2 linked regions of the Sus scrofa genome follow. The protein of the gene in region 1 purifies or fractionates together with the protein of each later gene. This does not show direct contact. Links are inferred from orthologs where the notes say so. Each region holds a gene or a part of one and is shown in the gene's direction. Other genes may lie near its edges.

Region 1 (3,511 bases):
GAACAAAATACAAATCATTATAAAAAAAAAACAAAGAATTTTTAGATGTAACAAATAGGAGCAAGCGGAGCACTTGAAAAAACATGTCAAGTTTTTTTTGTTTGTTTGTTTGTTTGTTTTTTGCTTTTTAGGGCTGAACCAACAGCATATGAAGTTCCCAGGCTAGGGGTCGAAATCAGAACTACAGCCTGCTGGCCTATACTGCAGCCACAGCAACTTGGGATCCAAACTGCGTCTGAGACCTACACCACAGCTCACAGCAATGCCGGATCCCCCACCCACTGATCAAGGCCAGGGATTGAACCAGCATCTTCGTGAATCCTAGTCAGGTTCATTATTACTGAGCCACGACGGGAACTCCGAAAAAATGTGCAAAATTGCCTAGAGTTCTCAATGGATGTTTGGCTCCTGAAAGATAAAAATGTCAGCTTCAGAATATCATAAACTGGGACAGGAAGAATGGGTTGCACAGGAGAGTCAGAGGAAAGAGCACCAAACTGGGAGCCAGGGGGGCTGAATTTTGGTCTTGTATTGGGCAGGCCTTTTTTTCCCCCACATCTGCGACATTTGGAAGTTCCTGGGCCAGGGATCAAATCTGAGCTGCAGCTTCGACGTACACCACGGCTGCAGCAATGTCAGGCAGGTCTTTTTGCCATTTCTTGGGCTGCTCCCTCAGTATATGGAGGTTCCCAGGCTAGGGGTATAATCGGAACTATAGCTGCCAGCCTATGCCAGAGCCACAGCAACGCAGGATCCGAGCCGCGTCTGCAACCTACACCACAGCTCACAGCAATGCCGGATCATTAACCCACTGAGCAAGGGCAGGGACCGAACCCGCAACCTCATGGTTCCTAGTCGGATTCGTTAACCACTGCGCCACGACGGGAACTCCCAGGCAGGTCTTTTTGTGTCTGTTTCCATCTGTCAAGTGAGGTGATTGAATATAGGTGACTGCTGGAGTTTCTGTCATGGCTCAGCGGAAATGAGTCTTTCATCTATGAGGACGCAGGTTTGATCCTTGGCCTCACTCAGTGGGTAAAGGAGCTGGTGTTGCCGTGAGCTGTGGTGTAGGTTGCAGACTTGGCTCGGATCTAGTGTTGCTGTGGCTGTGGTATAGGCCGGCGGCTATAGCTCCTATTTGACTCCTAACCTGGGAGCCTCCTTAAGCTGTGGGTGCAGCCCTAAAAAGACAAAAAGAAAAATAGGTGACTGTTGAACCCTTCCCTGCAATAGAGTTGGTTTATTAGGGGTTTATGATTTTAAGTAGCAACAGACTAAAAGAAAACTTTGCTTGTAGCATTCATTTATTGAACAAATACTAATTATTTTCTTGTTTTAGGAGGGTAGGACATTCAACAGTTGATAGCTTGATTTATAACTTTGAAATATTTAGATGTGTGCTATGAGAGCATGCTCTTTATTAAGGACCTACTTTTAATGTGGCGCCGTGCTCAGTATGCAGTACAATGTGAGCCGGCTTGTGAGTAAGGGCAGTAGTGATCCAGCCAAGTGTGTTCTCTACATTTCAGGATTACTGTGTGCTATCCCAAGTGTGCTTTTTTTCTTTCCTTCTTTCCTTCCTTCCTTCCTTCCTCCCTCCCTCCCTCTCTTTCTTTCTTTGTTTTGTCTTTTTACGGTTGCACCCTCGGCAAATGGGAGGTTCCCAGGCTAGGGGTTGAATCAGAGCTGCAGCTCTTGGCCTACACCACAGCCAACTGCAGGGCCGAATCCTTAACCCACTGAGTGAGGCCAGGGATCAAACCTGCATCCCCATGGATCCTAGTTGGGTTTGTTAACCACTGAGCCATGAAGGGAACTCCCCCAAGTGTGCTTCTTCTAGGTCTTTCTGCTACATGTACTCTGGAATGAGGCTGACTCTGATTCCCATAGGCTGTTGGTTCCACTGCAGAGCCTTTGCTCTAACCGTGGAGCTTATTTTAAGTGACTCAAGGGAGAGGTTCTATGGTGATGCCAGGATCAGCTCCAGATCATGAGTTGGGGTTGGGGCCCTTTCTGCAGGAAGGCGATGAAGATGTGTATGGAGAGGTTCGAGAAGAGGCGTCTGACGATGACATGGAAGGGGACGAGGCGGTGGTGCGTTGCACCCTCTCGGCGAATGTGAGTACAGCTTGCTCTTGCCAGCTGCTGCAGGGCAGGTTATTTCTGGGTGCAGCATTTCTTTCCCAGACATAGGTCCTGTTAACATAGTAGCTACTGAGCTACCTTTTTATAGGGTGAGCTGTAATAAATGCCTAGTGTCTTGATTTCTGTGAACTTTCAGTTGTTGCCCTCCTTCCCAAAGGCATGTGTTAATGAAATCTTAGTTTGGGGTACTCGTGAACTCAGTATAGCAGAATCTCCCCCCTCCACCCCCCCATGGCTATGGGTGGCCCTCAGAACTCAGTTGTATGATGATGAGACAGCACTTGGGGCAGAGGGAGGCACTGTGAGCTGGTGAGCTCAGTGCCTGGTCACTTTGTAGCTCGTGGCCTCAGGGGAACTGATGAGTTCCAAGAAGAAGGATTTGCACCCTCGGGATATCGATGCCTTTTGGCTACAGCGGCAGCTCAGTCGCTTCTATGATGATGCCATTGTGTCGCAGAAGAAGGCAGATGAAGTGTTGGAAATTTTGAAGGTATGGTCGGGATAATGTTTCTGTGTTCAGTGTATCTTAGCAGATGGAACAGTGTGGAAAGCAAATGGCTGTGTTCTTAATCATGGTGTTACCTTCTCTGTGCAGACGGCCAGTGACGATCGGGAATGTGAGAACCAGTTGGTTCTGCTCCTTGGCTTCAACACTTTTGATTTTATTAAGGTCTTGAGGCAGCACAGGATGATGAGTGAGTACATGAAGGACCCTTCTGTGGTGTATACATGCATGCGTGATGGTGGTTGTGTTGTTTTCACAGCCTTGCCACTTGTTTCATTTATTTTTCTTTCTGCCCCAAGGTTGAAGGTTGATTTTTATCTCATTCCCTCCTTCTCATCTTCCCTTTCTTCCTTTTGCTGTTGGCAGTCTTATACTGTACCTTGCTGGCCAGTGCACAGAGTGAGGCTGAAAAGGAAAGGATCATGGGCAAGATGGAAGCCGACCCGGAGCTGTCCAAGTTCCTCTACCAGCTCCATGAAACGGAGAAGGAGGACCTGATCCGGGTGAGGGCTGGCTTGGTTTGTCTGATTCCTAAACTAGAGTGTTTGCTTTGGGAAAGAGACATTAGAAGATGGCAGCATATGGAGTTCCCGTTGTGGTGCAGTGGTTAAGAATCCGACTAGGAACCATGAGGTTGTGGGTTCGATCCCTGGCCTTGCTCAGTGGGTTAAGGATCCAGCGTTGCCGTGAGCTGTGGTGTAGGTCACGGACGTGGCTCGGATCCTGTGTTGCTGTGGCTCTGGCGTAGGCTGGGCAGCTACAGCTCCGATTGGACCCTTAGCCTTGGACCCTCCATGTGCCGTGGGAGCAGTCCTAGAAAAGGCAAAGAGACAAAAAAAAAAAAAAAAGATGGAAGATGGC
Region 2 (4,082 bases), on another chromosome or scaffold:
TACCCCAAAGCTTTGCTTCAGTAGAACTGAACACATATTCGGAGAGAAAAACTAGATGTGAGAAGTTCCCCTGTGGCAGAGAAGATTGAAGATCCTGCGTTACTGCAGCTATGACTCAGGTTGCAGCTGTGGTGCTAGTTCCACCCCTGGCCTGGGAACTTCCACATGCCCTGAGTGCGGCCAAAATCAAAACAAACAGACAAAGAACAATAACAAAAATACACAAAAAAAGACCTAGAGCCATGTGGGATTGAAACCAAAAAGCTAATGAGGGGAAAAAGGAAGGAAGGAGGCAGCATTAGTTACTTCCTGGTGTCTATCTAAACTTTTCTAGAAGTTGGAAAGATTTTTGTTTTTGTTGGCGGGGAGAAGGGGCTGAACTATGAAGCATAAGATTACAGAGAAACAAAGTGAAAGTACAATTTGGGGTAAAAACAAAACAAAAAAACCTCAAAACACCTCATTGGAGGGCTGAAGATAGGGAAGGAGGAAGAAGAAAGAAGAAAAATTACGGGAGTTCCCATTGTGGCGCGGCAGGTTAAAAACCAAAGTGTCTGTGAGGATGTGGGTTGGATCCCTGGCCTCTCTCAGTGGGTTAAGGATCAAAAACTGGCCAGATTCCAAAGAGCAAGAAAGTGAGGAAGGCAGGTCCTATCTGCAATGTTGAGAAAACCAGGTGCCACAGTCCCAGAGCTACCATCCTTCCAGGCGGTCTTTGTAACCCCTGTGTGGGCTCACTTTGAGTTGTCATAATAACTAGGGCGTTACCACGGGGCTAGGATCACTAAAATGTCCTCCTACACCTGGGACAGTCTTCCACAATGAACTGTCCCTCCCTCCCTGGAAATAGTAGCCTGCTCCTGTAACTTAACTTTTGGTTTGTCTACCTGTAAAATGGGGGTAGTCACCTATCTCACAGATTTTTGGTAAAAATGCTTTCCCACAAACAGTAAAGTATTTGATGTTGTTACTATAGTTGCTACTACAATTACGTGCTATTGATATCTAAGGAAGGCCTTAAGTTCCTCCGTTGTAAGCCACAAGCCATGATAATCCTTAAAGGCAGCTGCTAGGAAAGCCAGCCTATTCTAATAGGACTGCGCCCACGGAGAGAACAATTTTCTGAGGAGAGCCGACCCAGGAAAAACTCTTCCTCCCTTCCTCCCGCAGACTCAAGTGTTTCGAGAACCACATTGCCCAGAGGCCCCGGTGGTCCAGGGCCGGCTCTCGCGCCGTGCACTCTGGGATTGGTAGTTCTCTGGCCTCGTTGTCAGCCGGCGCACCCCAGCACCAGGAACTCGTCTTCCCAGCTTGCCGCGCGGCCGGGCGAGCAGCCTGGCGACCAGGAAACGGGAAAGATGGCGGCTGTTCGGCGACGTTGAGGCCGCGTTGGGCGGTTCGAACTGAAGAGTGGTAAGTCTCGGGCGGTGGAAGCGATTCCCACGAGCTTGCACAGAGGGCGAGGGTGAGGGCACGGCAGTGGCCCCTGCCTCCGGGGCGAGGCGGGGAAGAACGCCTCAGGGAAGGGGCATGAGGTTGGAAAGCTCTGCCGAGGGGGAGCGGAGGGGCGCGGGCCCCAGGGGGAGTGTTGGTTCCTGGGGGCACAGGGCAGCTTCCTGGACGTGGTTACGCCCGGACCTTTGCCGGTGGGCACAACCCTGTGGTACCCCCAGCCCGACCTTATTCCTTCATGTTTCGAGTAGCCCTTGCTCCAACCAAATTGGAACTCTGGCTTTTCTCCCAGAACCAGTCATGCTTTCCCGCCTCTGCGCCTCCTGTGTTATTTCTTTTGCCGGGAAGGGCTTCTTTCCGGCACCTTCAATTACACATCTTCAAATTCTACCTATATTTAAATGCTCGAGCCACTTCCTCTAGAGATCTTTCCAAATTTCCCACTTACAAATGAAAGGAAACTTCTTTGAACTCCTGTAATAATTCATCTGAGCCTTCATCTTGGTATGTGGCTCATACCTTCTGTTGTTCTGTAAGCTTCTCGTGGACAGGATCTTCCTGATTTCCTTTCGTAACTCACACAGTGCCTAGCACGGTGCCTGGCATATAGTGGATGTTTGGTAAGTACACACTTCATTGACTGGGAAAAAAAAGACTCTGCCCCTGCCCTGCAAGAGTAGAGGAACTCAAAGATCTGGAGGTTAGCGGTACCTGTAATAAAACTTGCCTGCGTTTCTTGTCTTCTTATTCTCACTTCTAACTCTTCTAAACTCACTCCACTCAGGCTTCTACTCCCTCCATGCCACCGAAACAGCTCTTGTCAAAGGTCACCAACCATCTCTGCTTTTCTAAATGTAAGGGTCACTCCTTCATCTCTTAGTCTTTCTCCACTTGATGCAGATAACCACTCCCTCACTGAAACACACTTTTGGCTTCTGTGACGCCATACTTTACTAATTTTTCTTTTTCTCATTAGTTGTTGTTTCTGTTTTTTTAAATTTTAATTCTTATTTTTTTTTGTCTTTTTGCCTTTTCTAGGGCTGCTCCTGCAGCATATGGAGGTTCCCAGGCTAGGGATCTAATCGGAGCTGTAGCTGCCCACCTACACCACAGCCACAGCAACACGGGATCCGAGCCACATCTGTGACCTACACCACAGCTCACGGCAGCGCTGGATCCTTAACCCACTGGGCAAGGCCAGGAATCAAACCCGCAACCTCATGGTTCCTAGTCGGATTCGTTAACCACTGCGCCACGACGGAAACTCCTATTAGTTGTTGTTTCTTAACAGTTTTTTTCCTCTGGCTCCTCCTGTGCCTGGCCTCTAAATGTAGTGTTCCAGAGCTTGATTCTGGGTCCTCTTCTATAACTAGAATGCTTACTTAGGTCATGTTATTTAGCGTCCAATGGTTTTAAACGCCATCTATGTATTGATAACTCAAATCATTGTCTCCACACTGCCTCCTGAGTTCCAGAACTGCATTTTCACCTGCTTTCCTGGAATCTCCACTTGGTTTTCTTACTGACATCTTACAGTCAACATGGTCAAAATGAAACTTTTGACTTCTTCCTAAATCTTTTTTTTCCCCCCAGTCTGCTCTGGTCACTAATGGCACCGCAAACCACTTATGTTAGTCAAACCACATATTTAGGAGCTCTCTTTTTGTGTCCTCGCTTCATCAGTAAGTCCTGTCAGCTCTGCCTTCAAAATATGCCCTGAAGCAGTCTCCTTCTTTTCATTTCCATTGCCACTTTTCTAGAACAAGCTGCTGTCATCTCCTGTCTGTGCTACTATAATAACATTCTCAGTTGTTCTGTGTCTTCGCATGCCTCTCTACTGTATATTTTCTCGTAAGGCACCAAAGTAGTGGTGAAAGTATTCAAAGTAATCAAAATGAAAAATAAGTTCATACCACCTCCTGTTTGACAACTTTCTAAGTTTCCCACTGCAGTAAGATTAAAATCCAAGTTCCCTTATTCTGGCCCAGAACACACTTCCAGGATCTGACTCCTGCCTACCTCCCTGAACTTATCTTGAATCGTTCTTCCCCCAAGTTACTGCCTCACTGCCCCTGAGCCGCACAAGTCTACTTTTTTTTTTTTTCCTTTTTACAGCTACACCTGCAGCATATGGAAGTTCCCAGGCCCGAAGTCAAATCAGAGCTGCAGCTGCAGGCCTGTGCTACAGCCACAGCAACACTGGATCCAAGCCACATCTGCGACCTTTGTCACAGCTTGCAGCAATGCCAGATCCTTAACCCACTGAACAAAGCCAGCGCTCAAACCCACATCCTCACAGAGACAATGTTGGGTTCTTAACCCACTGAGACACAATAGGAACTCCCCTTAGGCAATTTTGGGGTAAAATGGGTTGTCTCACCTTTTGAAAGTGCTACTTGTTAATTTTTCTTTTCTTTACCTACTCTACCTTCTTAAAGATATATGGCAGGGATCACATGGGAATTGTAAGCTAAAGTTTAGGGAACTGATATTTCATCTGAACCATTTGGACATAAAATAAGTTCGTTTTTTAAAAAATTTTATTGAGGAGTTCCCTTTGCGGCTCAATGGAAATGAGCCTGCCTAGTATCCATGAGGATGCAGGTTCGATCCCTGACCTCGCTCTGTAG

The links. Proteins that work in one complex are often made in the same cells at the same time.
Region 2: the proteins of SNRNP200 (region 1) and DDX23 purify together in Homo sapiens (affinity purification with mass spectrometry; 3 studies listed by BioGRID and IntAct, counting the BioPlex papers as one, with this or other methods). This does not show direct contact. The link is inferred for Sus scrofa from reciprocal best matches to the Homo sapiens genes SNRNP200 and DDX23.

The regions. Positions count from the first base shown.
Region 1 is NC_010445.4:46,935,557-46,939,067, forward strand, and holds part of SNRNP200 (U5 small nuclear ribonucleoprotein 200 kDa helicase), read left to right. Parts: intron 1-2,019; coding exon 2,020-2,118; intron 2,119-2,482; coding exon 2,483-2,635; intron 2,636-2,740; coding exon 2,741-2,840; intron 2,841-3,016; coding exon 3,017-3,153; intron 3,154-3,511. UniProt on the Homo sapiens protein: Catalyzes the ATP-dependent unwinding of U4/U6 RNA duplices, an essential step in the assembly of a catalytically active spliceosome. Plays a role in pre-mRNA splicing as a core component of precatalytic, catalytic and postcatalytic spliceosomal complexes.
Region 2 is NC_010447.5:14,906,935-14,911,016, reverse strand, and holds the start of DDX23 (probable ATP-dependent RNA helicase DDX23), read left to right. Parts: upstream 1-1,275; 5' UTR 1,276-1,413; intron 1,414-4,082. UniProt on the Homo sapiens protein: Involved in pre-mRNA splicing and its phosphorylated form (by SRPK2) is required for spliceosomal B complex formation.